Lepisosteus oculatus: one gene and its partner. The protein of the gene in region 1 interacts with the protein of each later gene in a biochemical or structural test. Links are inferred from orthologs where the notes say so. Each region holds a gene or a part of one and is shown in the gene's direction. Other genes may lie near its edges.

Evidence for each region.
Region 2: the proteins of eed (region 1) and nuclear inhibitor of protein phosphatase 1 form a complex in vitro, tested with the Homo sapiens proteins (2 studies listed by BioGRID). The link is inferred for Lepisosteus oculatus from reciprocal best matches to the Homo sapiens genes EED and PPP1R8.

Annotation. Positions count from the first base shown.
Region 1 is NC_090710.1:28,192,832-28,200,854, forward strand, and holds the start of eed (polycomb protein eed), read left to right. Parts: upstream 1-5,001; 5' UTR 5,002-5,121; coding exon 5,122-5,223; intron 5,224-7,248; coding exon 7,249-7,401; intron 7,402-8,023. UniProt on the Homo sapiens protein: Polycomb group (PcG) protein. Component of the PRC2/EED-EZH2 complex, which methylates 'Lys-9' and 'Lys-27' of histone H3, leading to transcriptional repression of the affected target gene.
Region 2 is NC_090706.1:4,789,032-4,796,413, reverse strand, and holds the start of nuclear inhibitor of protein phosphatase 1, read left to right. Parts: upstream 1-4,235; 5' UTR 4,236-4,323; intron 4,324-7,382. Other genes in the region: protein THEMIS2, read right to left, coding at 4,029-4,137. UniProt on the Homo sapiens protein: Inhibitor subunit of the major nuclear protein phosphatase-1 (PP-1). It has RNA-binding activity but does not cleave RNA and may target PP-1 to RNA-associated substrates. May also be involved in pre-mRNA splicing.

The DNA of each region.
Region 1 (8,023 bases):
CCGATTTCCATTTATTACATTATTACCATCCCCTCATCCAATAAACTCCAGAATCTCTACCGCTGGTGAGATTAATCTGGCCACGCCCTTTTTTCCATCCTTGGGCCCGGCGTAGCGGTTAGAGGACGGAGAGGTATTTACGCCACGGATGCCCCTGCTGTCAGGCCTGAAGCCCAGGTGAGGGAATGAGCTGGGAAGACGTGTGGAATCCGGCGCTCAGAGACCAGTGAACAGGCCCGGGTTTGTCTGGGCTCTCTGAGAGGAAGGGGGCAAATCGCGACAACCTCGCATCTGAAACTTGGTTGAAAGCTTGTGTCATGTACATAGGTACAATGTGCAGTGCTCCCAGTGGCAGCCCCAAGTGTCACTAGCCTGTGTAGAACCCCTGTGAACCATCCGCTGATGACAAATGTCAGTCAGTATAATGAAGCTGCTGTGGCCTGTAAGTACGATAAGAACTCTGTGCACCTGCTACAAAACCAGCTTTGTCATTTTCCTGATAACTTAGTGAAGTTGTTGCCGATACGACCAATGCATTTAATTTGATGCTCACATACAGCAAATGCTTATACAGTATAGATAGCTTTTGATGCTATGCATATACAGCAATTGCTTGTGTTAAAGTAAGTGCAACAACATTAGGAACAAGTGAAAAAAAAAGCTCATAACCATTTTAGCTTTTGACATGCAACGCTTGATTTGGAACAATCTGGAGCTGAATAGCTTTGCGCAGTCTGACAACTCCTTTGCAGTTTGACGATGAAGGAATGTCACTTTTCCTGAAGTTATTAGATGGAAGAATGCAGTACAGAGCTGATGTCAAACTGTTTTAAGATTTTTTTAAAACACTCAGTACACCTTTGTGTACACAGTGTATTTGATTAGAGAGCAAGATAGAAGATTTTGATAAAATACTTCCTGGTACAATATTTTAAAGGTCATGTCAAGTCCGTAAACATTAGAACAGACATTTTGTGTAGGTTGTGGTCTATACTTTCCATCATCATTATTATTATTTCTGTTTTTTTTCTGTTTTCTGTTCTAGATAAACAGGCTTCCTTCAGGGAATCATAAAATGTCCTTATTGCAAATACACTATTTTACCTCTTTTTTTTCAAAGTAAGAGGTCCCTCAGAGATCAGTTTCCCCAGAGTGTTTATGTGCCATTTACATGGGTGTTTGCATAAATGGAACAAAAGAGAACCTTTGGTGCACCAGAAAAATGATAGTGTTTCATGTGTTTCAGCACAAAGAAAGAAACAGACAGTAAGTCTACGATTATTGTAGTACCTCCCAGCCAAACGGTAGATTCCTGCATGAGAGCAGGACACTGTAAAACATCAAGGATGCTGGGGGGAAACAGGTTCAAGTAAGGAGCTGCATCAGTGTGCGTTGCCTGCAAAGAAATGAGTAAAGAGTCCTTCCATGCTGAAACATAGAAAGAAATTCAAACATTTCAGCTGTTGAGCCTTTTTCAAGGGTGAAGTTGATTCTAAAAACAGTTCTTCTGCCTCACACCTACATCAAAAAAGAAGGTTGTCTGATTGTCCTTTAAGCACTTAATGGAAATATGTAATAAGAGTTCCATAGGGCAGTTTGTACTCGTGGTTTGTGCTGTCCACAGCACAATCAACCTCTGTGACTGAGGTTGCTGACACTTGCTTGTATCTACCAGCTGCTGACTCGAGGTCTGGGTGAATTTTGGCTTACAGAATTTTCAATCGTATGCATTTGTGTGGTGCATGCAGTATTGACTAAGGCTAGAGCCTATCAGGGCTCTCAGTAGAGAACGCATTCCCTTATCACTCCTGATTTGTAAATTCTGTGTCTTAAGGTTAAGGTCCTTTGGATGAGACGTAAAACCAAGGTCCTGACTCTGTGGTCATTAAAAATCCCAGGGTGTTTCTTGAAAACAGTAGGGGTGTTACCCCGGCATCCTGGCCAAATTACCCATTGGACTTTACCACTAATGGCCTCCTAATAATCCCCATCTCTGAACTGGCTTCATCACTCTGTTCTCCTCCACACTGAGAGCTGGTGTGTGGAGAGTGTACTGGTGCATCATTCATTCCCCATTACCTGTAAAGCGCTTTGAGTGGAGTGTCCAGAAAAGTGCTATTTAAGTAGCTCAGACATTCTGCTAAATACATCTACAACATTGGGGGTTCAGGGATAAGGGAGGGAAACTAAGTGGGGTTAACATTTAAATTTCAAAGGTAGCAGATAAAATGTATTTCAAGTTGGACATGTATTCGCTTATCACCAGCAGATGTAAAGATAGTAGAATTAATGTGACAGTTTCGATTGGGTTTTTTTTTTAGAGATAACACTTCTGGCATTACTAGAAGGGTGTTAAAATGAAACGTTCTTGAGATGTGAAACTAATTCGCACATTAGTTTCAAACACAATTTAAAAGCAATAGGCAGCAGCCACATTTGTTAGCCGGGACAACTACATTTGTGCATGAGGCAGGATTAAACCTAGGGAACCGACAGCAGGATCTTTCAGAAACCAGCACTGTAAATCTCTGGATCACTCAAACCTTTATTTTAAGACCTTTAAGAAATGACAATAAAAGAGAGTTTTAAAGAATGATGATAGTTTGAGAATCGAGAACACAATTAAAAAATCCCCTTCTACTACCAAATAGGTGGCAGAACAAGATCAGAAGAGCCTGATTCTGAAAGCTATGATGGCAGAGAATATTTTCAGCAATACTTATTCTATATGAATTACCTTCTCTTTTGAGAAATCACACTTGCTTCTGAGGTGGAATTTTTTTTCCTGACATTATTGACAGGATTAATGATGAAGCACTATTCTGGTTGAGCACAGTTTTGACGATATTATTTCACGGTGCTATTCAAGGGCAAGAGAACAACGCCACTAGGTGGCCGTTTCTCAAAATACAGCTGTCAATATCCTTATTGTTCTCAAACTATTCTGTGTGAGTTGTCATCTGCAATCATTTGATTTATCCCAGATGAAGCAAATGCACAGTGGACAAACAGATTCAGGGAATAATATATACAAACTACAATCACTTGACAATCCAAGAAAATTGTACATTTTAACCAATTAAGAACATAAACCTAGTCACTAACTGCACATTATATACACAGAAGTAAGCAATTAAATGACTGGCTCTCTAAATGATCTTCACATTTGGAATTACTGTTTGTTTGAAATGTACTGTAATTCTAACCTGAAAGTGTAATCACAAGAGGGAGAAATGGGCATGACATGAACATCGGCAGACTGCTCTTTTTTCTGTCAGACATTCCCGGTCCTGGTCCTGCTGGTTGTGTCCCAGCTCAGCTCTTGGCTACACAACTGAACCCCTAACTGACTGCAAAATAAGATCAATTTGACCTGGCTGCCTTTTCCTCAAATTGTTCTGTTTTCGAACTGCAACCCGTTCAGGGTCAAATCCCACCAATCACACCAGGGCCAGTTTTCCCAGAAGACCATGAACTTCCCAGCCCTCACCAATCATGGCCTCCTAACAATCCCCCTCTGTAAATTGGCTTCATTACTCTGCTCTTCTCCCCACTGAGAGCTGATGTGTGGTGAGTGTTCTGGCGCACTATGGCTGCCGTCGCATCATCCAGGTGGGGCTGCACATTGGTGGTAGTGGAGGGGAGTCCCCATTACCTGTAAAGTGCTTTGAGCGGAGTGTCCAGAAAAGCGCTATATGAGTGTAAGCAATTATTATTATCATCCAGGTGGAGCTGCACACTGGTGGTGGTGGAGGGGATCCCCATTACCTGTAAAGAGCTTTGAGTTTTCTTTTTCTTTTCAGCATGGAATAAACATAAGTTTTTGCTTAAACCTATTACTTGTACTTTTCGCAATTCAATTGTTGCTGGATTGTTTTTTAACCATGTTCTTAAGAAAAAATATCTTTTTTCACGCTGTTTTTTCTTATTTTACCCCGAATGGTCATATTTTATTTTGACAGTGTATCAACCAAAATTGAACAAGCTCTCGATATATGCTGTACATAATGACCTTGATTGTTTAAACCATTTGTTCAATGAAGATATGACAAAGTAAAATGTTGTGTGTGTTGTTAAATAAGACAAATAAATAAAAAAAAATATTAGATAGATGAAGACCAGATCTCATTTTAGGAGCCATTCATGCAGAAATCCAGATAATTCCTAAGGGTTCACAAACTTTTTCTCACAACTGTAAAGCCTCGAACTGCTTATCAGATATCAGACACAGTGGCGCTCCTTGACTTTTTTTCCACAAGGCATACAACCACTGCACACGCAATTATGTACATATTTGCCGAGAGGCGCTAAACACATTACAAATTATGTTGTCGGCTGTCTGTCCTTGCCACACAATACGTGCCCCTTAAAACATTTACACGGCAAATTAAAACAGAACAACTAATCTGGGTGCGATACATCACAAATACTAAAATAAATCGAAAATCTATCTGCCTCCCTTTTCCCCGCGGCTCTTCGAGTACCACAGCTGCCGTGTCGCACACCTGAACGGTACAGCGAATCTTGTACATTTGTTTCTCATTTTAAAGAATTATCGGAAAATAAAAATAAATCTACAGCACGTCACCGTCCCTCACGTGTGTGAATTTCATAGTGATAAAACCTTGATGTTCTTAAGTGTATCAATAGGAAAAGGCACAGAGTTTGGGTCACGTAGCAGTAATCATTTTAATATCACTAACGTGGAACCGAGGGGAAAGTGCGACAGTTATGATCACTTTACGGGAGTGTGGCAAATCTGTTGGATAAGTGGTCTGTTCTGGTTCAGACATACTGGGCGGGCTGTATTCCATTTATTGTTGGGACTACACAGGTTAAAAATATAATAATGGTCAGATTTAAAAAAAAAACAGCAGGTCAAGATGGACATTCCTTAAAACCCTGTAGGCTCGCGCGTTCCGCTCGGCGGCGGCGAGGGGTTATGACGTCACGCGCCAGCGACCACCCTCCCCAGGAGCGCGCGCGCGCCTGCAGTTTTCCGGGGCGATTCGGCCATTTCCAGCGCGCGTCTGCAGCTCGAGCCGAACGGTTTGCGGCGGTGTGGCCTCGCGCTGGGGGGGAGGGGGAAGTGGAGGAAGAGGAAGAGGAAGATGAAGGAAGATGTCTGAGAGCCAAGCCGAGGCGGGAAACGAGATGCCGTCGAAAAAGCAGAAACTGAGCAGCGACGAGAACAGCAACCCCGATCTTTCGGGGGATGAAAACGTAAGGCCGAGCTGAGCGCTTCTAGAGAGAGCGGTGACTTCCAGCGTCGGGGATGCGGGCGGCGTGAGGTTCCCCTTGACGCCCGTGTCTCGATTTTAGACTAAAAAGTTGGGTGTAAAAATGGGTGACTGCTGAACCACAGCAGAGGCCCCGATCTCTGTGCAACAGCGTGAGCCGCTCACCCGCGCTGGCGGCGTTACAGCTGCTGCTGTAGTCTCGGTTCAGAGCTGGCTACTCCTGGCACGAAATTATATTTTTGCCCGGCGATGTAGAAACGGAACGGTATTTCCATCAGGAATATTCTGTTCGTCGTGCGGCCGCAGACACAAGCTCCTAGTTGTCTTCGTTCGGCGCTCTTATTCTCTAAATTTGATATTTTTTGGGGGGTTTCATGTTTCTCGTCAGATCAAACTTATTTATATTAGTTCGATGTGTTTTTTTTCTTCTAACGCGAGATACAGGGGAGATTCGCGGTGCCCAGCCTCAAGGTGCCCGTTGTCTCCCCGTGCGGTCGGTCACCACTCCTGGAAAATAACGTTACAATCCTGCTAAACAGGTCGTCAGAAAGCAGTTAACGTGCCGAAACCTTCGTTACTTCAGACCTTCTTCAAAATGCTTTTCAATGCCAATACCGTTTAAACCGGTGGCTTAAAATACCATTTGTTTTGTGTGTGTTTTTTCTTTGTAGTACTTCGTTTCGGTTGTTTTAAGAAACAGTCAATTGAAGGGTGAAGGACACCTTTACTGCAGCAGCGCTACAGAATTTATCACTCGTCTCTAAAACACGTCACCAAAACGAACCGCTCACTGCCGAGATGGCGAGACGCTCAGTAGAGACAGAGCTCCCCGGAGACATCATTGACAGTCTGAGAAGGAGACTGGGCATTCAGTTGTCGGGCTGACGTGCTGTTTTCATTCAGCCGTACGTGTGATAGAGGATTTCGTGTCGTTTTTAGCTGTTACGGTCTTCAAAACGAAGACGGATGTTTTCAGTGTTAGAAAATGTGTAGCATTTTAAAGCAAGGAACGGGTGAATGCAGGGTCTTCCTGTTGAAGACACAGGTTAAGGAGCCGCACGTTGAATAAGCTTGTAGGACGTTTTCGTCTTTCTTTACATAGAACAGCCTTGAAAATGGCCCGGAAAATTCCGATGAGTTTTCAAACTCAGGGTACGAAAAAAATCACATGATTGCTGTTTATTTTATCAACATACACGGTTAATTCAGGATTTGAGTGTGGCTTTTGTGCTGGGAGCTGGAAATTTCTTCAGACCTAGTTGCCCTTATTGAGGTGCAAGAGGATTAAAATGGGTACTGGGATTATATTTTCTAGAATATTTCATCGTTTTTTAATGTAATGGTCGACACCCGGTTGGATTCGAGTATTTGTTTGCCATTGCATCAATGGAAAACGTACTTAAAATGTACTGAATGAGGTTTCTCTAGCGTGCTGCAATAGAAGAATCAATCACTCGTTTGGTTGAAATAAATACAAGGTGGTCAAGTGACTTCCTGTTGACTTTGAAGCCGGGCAGGATTTTAACCCTGTTCTTAAACTAAACTTTGTTAATTTGTAAACTCGCTCATCTTTGCCATGTGTAATACCAATCAGACAAATCAGTGAAATTGTTCAGCTTTTCAGTCTGTCTTTTGGCAGGAATAGGGAGCAGCCGATCGGGATTTCACATTTCCTGAATTTGGGCATTACAGACCAGTTTTCATCCCAGGTTACAAAGCTGAATGTACATTTTTAGTTCAATTTCCGGTCAGCTTTCGGAATCTTTCCCTGTCTCAAAGTGTCCCATTGTATGCAGAGTCCCATAAATTACAATGCAGTTAATTGTGAGGATCAACAGTCAGTCTTCTGAGGGTTATCAGTCTCAAATCTCCCTTGCAGATGGTTTTATTTATTTGGTTTTATTTTTTTTCCACTCCATGGCATTAAAATGATCAGTGTGCCACGCTGGATGTGTGGCGGAAAGTGCCCCAAGGAAGACGCTGCCACTCTGTGCTGTCTGTGTTGCAGGACGATGCCATCAGTATAGAGAGTGGGACCAACACCGAGCGCCCAGACACCCCCACCAACACGCCCAATGCCCCCGGCAGGAAGAGCTGGGGCAAGGGCAAGTGGAAATCCAAGAAGTGTAAATACTCCTTCAAGTGCGTCAACAGCCTCAAGGTGAGTGTAGCCACAGGAGTGTGCTGAACTAGCTTGTGAGTGTATGAAGTAGGAGGACTGGTCTTTTCCCAGTTTCGGATGAAACGAAAACCGAGGTCCCGAACCTCTGTGGTCATTAAAAATCCCAGGGCGTTTCCCGAAAAGAGTAGGGGTGTTAATCCTGGTGTCCTGGATACATTTCCTCCAGGCCTTTACCAATCATGGCCTCCTAATAATCCCCATCTCTGAACTGGCTTCATCACTCTGCTCTCCTGCCCACTGAGAGCTGGTGTGTAAAGAGCTTTAAGTGGAGTGTCCAGAAAAGTTCTATATAAGTGTCAGGACTAATAGTATTAACAGTTCAGAGAGGTTCGACATGCACTTGGTGTTTTGGAACGTGACATGGAGCTGTGCTTTCACAATTCCCCTAAACTGTAATTTTTAATGCCTGCAGTGCAAAGGGGATGCTTAATGGACATATTTAAAATGTGCAGAATGTGAATAACCAAGCAAGCATCTTTCCATTATGCATGCTTTCCTGGTGGAAGGCACTTGAGAATGAGAGCAGTAGGATAATTGAAAATGGCGGAATAAAAGGAGCCACCAGTCTGTGGTCTGCCTGATTTGGAGAGCTGGTCTTCAC
Region 2 (7,382 bases), on another chromosome or scaffold:
CATATTTGTTTGTCTCTTCTTTGAATCAGAGGTTTAGTGAACATTGTTTAAGTGTATAACTTCAATGCAGTTGTGCATGGGGCTCTGATCTATAATACTTACTCTAACTACACTGCCAGTGTGGTTTCATCTTCTTCACAATTCACCCCTGTACCTCAGCAGTATTGCTGGTCTAATAATATTAATAATTTATCATTGATACTTTGTTACTTCATTTTACAACTTTAATGATACATCATCTCAATGTGCTTAAAAATAATCACCAAAAGTGACCTGTATACACAAATCGATAAAGTGAGGAACTCTCGGGGAATTACTGTAATATGTACAAAAAATGGTAAAAATCCGCAATATTTCACAGTTAATTAACAAGGCTAAGATTAGTTAGGTAGGTACAGTAGCTGTCTCAGCATGCATAGGCTACAAATCACCAAGTAAAGGTTTATTCCATAAATAAACTCCAATAAACCTTTACTAGTTCCTCTGAAGGCTAATATTTGCAAATTTACTTTTTTTCCCCATCAGCAAATTGGCATCTAGCAAAAAGTTGTTGTTTTTTTGCTGTTGAATGGGGTTACAACCTCTGTAAGTATTACACAACTAAGTGATTTCAATGCACACACAGATCATCCTGACTGCTGACCTGCTGCCTCTTTCCAACCTACTATGGAAGGCTGTGGTTTTCCTCAACAGTTCGCCTTCACAATACATAGCTGTGGCAATACAATGGGTTTTCTTGGTATTCTTTGTTAGTTCATCTTCATTTCTTCTGACTACTTATTGAATTACTGTGGTGTTATATTTTGCAGACCATCTGCCTCCTACGAACAGTAAATGGACTATGACTATCTGCAGACTGAGTCGAATAAATCCAACTAGTCAGATCAATTGATTGATCTTTATTATCAACCTTATCATTTATCAATTAAACAGTGGAGGACTGGCAGGGATAGTGCCTATGACCAAACAGGCCCAGAGAGCCCAGCCACAGTGTAGGAGAAGGCTTTTCAGTTCTGGGTCAGTTCCTTTTCCCATGTTTCCATCTACGCAGAAAATTACGCAGAAAAGTTGTATATTAAAGACAATAAGCAATGTAAACATTCGATTTGAAGATGATGATGTTGATTATTATTATTATTCATTCAAATAAGTTCAAATAAGACTTCAAATTAATCATATTGGGACACCGTGTGTGCCCTGCGATGGACTGGTGGCCATTCCTTGCATCCAATCCTTGCTGTTATAGGCTCTGGCAATATTAAGACAATTGGGCTTAGATCTGCAACATCAGGTTCACTTAAACCCTGCTACTCACTGCCTGCTACTTCAGTCTCAAGTCCGTGTGCAGGAGAAGAGAGAACAAAAATGAACTGGAAGAAAATGGCCTTACGGATGAGGGAGGCACAGTTTGACATCTGCTTGTGCTGAATGCTCTGCCATACCTTTGAAGGCTGTTTCAATTGGGTCTGCTCACTAATGGCTTAACGGGGATTACGTCACCCTGCACTAGCTGGAAATATAAGGGACTAAACTGCCTTCCCTTGTTTGTGCATTTTCAGAGAGTTATTATTTTAATACGTAATTAATTTAAATAAAACAGGTTACACCATGTGGGAAATGGGATACTTTTTCCCGTGTGACTGATCTCCACATAAAAAGGAACCTTACTCTTGCACCATTCATTTTATGCGTTTGATGTAAATTCCAACCTGATTCAACGAACTGTTTCACTTGGCTTCACATAAAATTAAAATTAAATGGCTTGGGATTTTCCCCACTGTTTCATAGGATCTGCAGGGTACACTTCCTTGTACACTAACTACAAAAATTCACTCTGAGCTGATTAAATATTTACTTGTACTGCAGATAACTCCCTAAACACAGTGATTTGACTGGCATTGCCTGCGAAGGCTGTAAAACTGAGGGTAGGTATGAAATATAAATAAAGGCACTATGTATTCTCACAAATACATAGCTCGGGTGGAGCAGTGGCTCTGTGGCTAAGGATCTATACCAGTAGCTGGAAGGTTGCTGGTTCAAATCCTGCAGCTGGCAGAGGAATCCTACTCCGTTGGGCCCCTGACCAAGGCCCTTAACCCCAACTGCTCCAGGGGTGCCGTACAATGGCAGACCCTGCGCTCTGACCCCAAGCTCTCTCACTGTCTGTGTGTCTCATGGAGAGTAAGCTGGGGTATGTGAAAAGATAATTCCTAATGCAAGAAGTTGTAAAGGGTTATAAAGTAATGTTATATATATTATATAAATAAAAGTGAAAACCTGTCACACATTTGAATGTAAGCAAGTTACATTCTGTTTTTCTGTGTAAACTCAGGCGGTGTATCAGGGCTGAGTTTGCAATATTTATGTTGAGAAGGTCATCACAGGACCTAGTGATACAAGTCATACCCACTTCCTCTCACCCAGCCTAATCCTTAATAATGGGCAAGCCCGCACTAACAAACACAGGCTCGAGGACAGAGTCTCCTCCAACCCTTTGCATTTACACATGTTTGTTCCTGTGAATCTCCATTTATGCTTCCAAGTAAAATGGTCAATGACCAAAGGAAAAGCAAATTATGCAAATCATGAGACGCCAGGTTCCACGCAGCCTGGAGTCTGGTTTGCAGTGGGTTCCTGTTCTGCAGAGTGGATATTATAGAAGTAGCACTAGTTAGAAGTAAATATAGCAAAAAAAAATAGAGAAATATTGCTTCCCTTCCTGCTGTACCTTCTTTATCACTGGACCAAAATCAATGTTTTATTTCCTTCCAATTGTTCCCAGTGTTTTAATTGTTTCCTTAAACGTCTGACCAATCGACATTTTTAGAATCTTTCCCTACAGAGAGAATCTCGGGCTTTGCTAAACTGGCCTCTTCCTGGAGTTCATGGATGCGTGTGCGGGAATTTGGGGACAGCTGGAATATGCTGGGAGCTTCTGCAGTTACAAATGAACCGACGTGTATCAGCATGTGGTTCATGCCGGGATGAACGGCAGCGCTTCTTCAAATCAGAAACCAGACTGCATGGTCACTACTAAACAATGTGTTTCGCTCATTCTTGAGGGTTTCTTAGAGGATTCGCTAGTTTAACAATAAGGAATAACAAACGAGATATCTTTTTTATTTCGCTGAGCTAGTTCTGATTAATTTAAACTGTGTTCCTTAGTTTGGGGTGGGAAATTCTTACTATATCAATTCATAAATCGATCCCTGGGCAGTTGTAGATACGGTAAATGTGAAACCAACATCGGGGTCACAGTAATATTAAACTCGTATATTCCAAATGACGCCGTGTGTTGTGTCTGCATCAGTAGATACTGTCATTAATCTGTTGTACGGTGGCCTATCTACATGTTTTTTACTTTCAGTTTTCGCCTTAAAAAGAAGTGTCATATGGCCTACCGCCAAACTGATATGCGTAATAAAACTTTATTTTCCTTTGGTAAAAAAAACAACAATCCAGAGATCATCAGAACTCAATTCCACGAACTACTGTTTACACACAGCTGGTGTGTACACTAGTCTTTTTTGAAGCAAGAAGAGAGCAGGGTTAACAAATGAATGCTTAAAGCGCTACTATTTTAATTTTATTTGGAGTTCATATAGTTACATTTCTATTTTACTCAAAACAAAAGCCTGCGGTGTCCTTATATGGCAAAAATAGATCAACTTCAAACCTGTCCAATTAACATACATGTAATAATTATTTACGGAAGTAATTGTTATTTTTTTTCATATTGGGACACAGTAGTGTTTTATCTCCATTCCAGACTCGTTGTTACACTCCAGAAATTATAATAATTTTGGGGCAGTGAAAAAGATTGTCCGTATCTACCATCAGTCTTTAAATCTAATAATGCTGGTAGTACAGTATCGTTTCTGTGTGGTACTGCTCCTGTGAACAACTTTTTTTTTCTACCAAGACCCTTTTCTACAGGCTAATCTTCATTTGTGTGCTTCATGTCCAAGGTATAGGATTACGCTCTGTCCTCTGTCTGGTCTCCGTTTTGGCAAAACCACTGTACTTACCTTGAAAATAAACCCCGGAGCAGACCTGCAGGACGCGCGGCAGCGTGGACGCGTCCACGGAAGCGATGTATTCCTGCAGAGACAGAACCTCACCGCTGGAGCCAGCCATCGCCGCCTGCCCTGGACGAACCGGATTGTCAGAACCGATGGTTTGCTACCCCTGGAAAGGACGAAGCGCCGCTGTATCTCGTGTGTCCCCGCTTTACCACGCACCGAGAAGAGCAGGAAGCGCCGAAGAGCCCATCGCGTCTGCACAAGTGGGAGAGGACTGCGGTTTAACAGCTCATCCCACAAGGCAAGGCGAACTCGCTCGGTGGCTACACCTGTCTGTGAACCTGATCGAGGACTTCATACGGTACAAAATCCAGACAAATGGGAGACTGACTTTTAAGGTCGTCGTCCTTAAAGTTTAGGAGAATTAATTACCCTCAAATGTTTCCTCTTTATAATTATACGGTTTTCCTCCATCAATGCACATTAATGCACGTAGTTGGACAGCCTTTTTGTTTAAAAACAAATATAGGATTCACTATCGGTTCTTTGATGCAAAACACTTTAAGGGCATGTAGACACTTGTCAAACGACATCGCACTCTTAATTAATACTTAATTACTAAAATACTCTTTTCAAGAAACGCCCTGAGATTTTAATGACCACAGAGAGTCAGGACCCCCGTCTTACATCTCATCCGAAGGACGGCACCTTCTTACTGAATAGTGTCTCCGTCATTGTACGTGGGCATTAGGACTCAGAAGTTCAAGACTGAACATTTTTAGTGCATAAAAGCCGACATATTTTCCATTCGTATTTAATTGGCGTAATGGCTTTACCCAACAGAAGGGGGACAAATATATCCTTTAGATTTTTGAGCTGCTGAGTTATATGTTCTGTAAGCTGAATTATAAAAATCTTTTTAAACTTTCCATCACGAGACCTGAAAGAGGGCAGAAATATATAAATGTACTTGAGCAGATGATTAGACTGAATAAGGAAGCAAAACGAAAACAGAGAGGTCCACTTTTCGAATTTGGCACACCCCCCTACCAAAGTCTTTTATGAGTCTTCACATTTGTTACATTTAAGAAAAGCTCTAGGGGACAGACTGTAATAACATATGGTCTGTAAAAGGAGATAATAGTGAGTATGAAGTAAAAAATGAAACAACTGTAGAAAGTTCACTGACGGTGAGAAACCTGGTAGGGTTTGATATAAGCTTAGTTTTCTTGCCATGAATTACAGTGCTTATTCTGCAGTATCAACTTCTGTATTTCCAGAGCACTGAGGGTGGTGGAGTTCATTTGCTTATCAGAGGTCTCTAGAGTGTAGAGCTGGCAGTGGAGAGCAGCAGAGAAGAAAAATGTTCTCAGATAGCACCTGGACTCCCCCCACACCATCCCATCCACACACAGTCTGTGACCTAGCTGGTGCCTGGCTCCTCTGTCCAGCTGGTGTTGGTGTGTGTGCCAGTCAGTGTGCTATTCACTGTGCTAGGAGGTGTGTTGTGTTTTGCACTATTCTGAATATCAGAACTTCATGGAGTGAGGTGACGTGGCGTTTCCCACTACAGCTGAGTGAGCTGTGGGAGCAACGCTTTAGAAATGAGTCTTCCAGGAAAAAAAATACATCATCTTCCTGTAACGCCTGTAAAGGGAAGATTATGAAAGATACCTTTGAAGTGGCTAGGAAATTCATGGCACTTTGACAAACCCCAACATTTTGGGACAGTAAAGGAACAGGTAATAGGTTTATTCCATGCCGAAAAGAGCAGAAAGAAAACACAACGTTTCGGCTGTGAAGCCTTCTTCAGGTGTAAGCTGAAAAGAGAAGAAAGCTTACACCCGAAGAAGCCTCTACAGCTAAAATGTTGTGTTTTCTTTTCTTTTCAGCAGGGAATAAACCTATTACTTGTTCCTTTGCAGCCTACGCATGCTGATGCAGCTACCCACCTGAACTATTTTGGGACAGTGCTGCTGAACTGTGAAAGAGTGCAAGGCATTCTGTCAGCAGGACTGCTGGAGAATCGGTTTGGTTATGATCCAAGAAAGGTAAATTGTGATTATCCGAGTCATGCTGTCAAGTTATATGTTAGGTAAATTGATTTTATGGGGTCCTGCAAAAGCTTAGTGAGCTAGCTATTAGTGATCACGTAAAAATAAAGTTTCAAACAAGAGAAGGTAATGTAGAAAATCTATTTTTTTGTAACTAAGTGACCTAAAGGATCTCATCCATTCATTTCTTGAAGGAGACCGGGTATTCGCATCCAAAACTGTGACTGAGCAATTTGTTCCATACTCTCACAACTCTCTAGGAGCAAAGAAGTGCCTCCTGTTCTCAGTTTTAAAGTGCATATCCCTGTAGTTTCCACTTTTGTCCTCTGAGTTTTCTATATTTGTATAAGGTGCACTCATTGTCTTTTCTGTTCAAGACTAAAAGGTTCCGATGTTTCTGCATGTCGGTGTAGAACATTGCTTTAAGCCCAGGAATGTATCTGTGTAATGTATCACATGAAAAAGAAGAGTATAATGATAGGCTTGTGCTTGCTGCCTTCACATTGGCATGTTCTTGATGTTACAAGACGTTTCAAATAAAAGACCATTTAGCACATCCATATCTTTTGAGGGATCCTCGGGCATCAACACTTTTGACCAAAGTAGCTGATCACTTCATTTCTTATAAATGTAATTTTGTCATTTCACTGAAGAAAGGAGAAGCTATGTGGCAGGCTGTTGTCTGAGTCATTACCACACACTTATTCTGTAAAAAGAAAAAGAAATAGAAACAAAAGTTACATGTAGCTTCCTTAAATGTATTGACGGCTTTTGAGCACTTTTATTTCTGGACTTCCGTGTAAGTGCTCTAGCTAACAAACCCACGTAGAGTGCCTGTATTTACCTACAGTATATTTAGTGGCTTCTTATCTTCTACATAACCTATACTTTACGTGTTGTGTTTGACACAGGCTGGTTCGGCCCGAGAGAGCTCCTGCCAGCTGTGGTTGTGTTTGACACAGGCTGGTCCGGTGTGAGAGAGGTCCTCCCAGTTGTTGTTGTGCGTGACACAGGCTGGTTTGGCCCGAGAGAGGTCCTGCCAGCTGTGGTTGTGTTTGACACAGGCTGGTTCGGCCCGAGAGAGGTCCTGCCAGTTGTGGTTGTGTTTGACACAGGCTGGTTCGGCCCGAGAGAGGTCCTGCCAGCTGTGGTTGTGTTTGACACAGGCTGGTTCGGCCCGAGAGAGGTCCTGCCACTTGTGGTTGTGTGTGACACAGGCTGGTTCGGCCCGAGAGAGGTCCTGCCAGTTGTGGTTGTGTTTGACACAGGCTGGTTCGGCCTGAGAGAGGTCCTGCCAGCTGTGGTT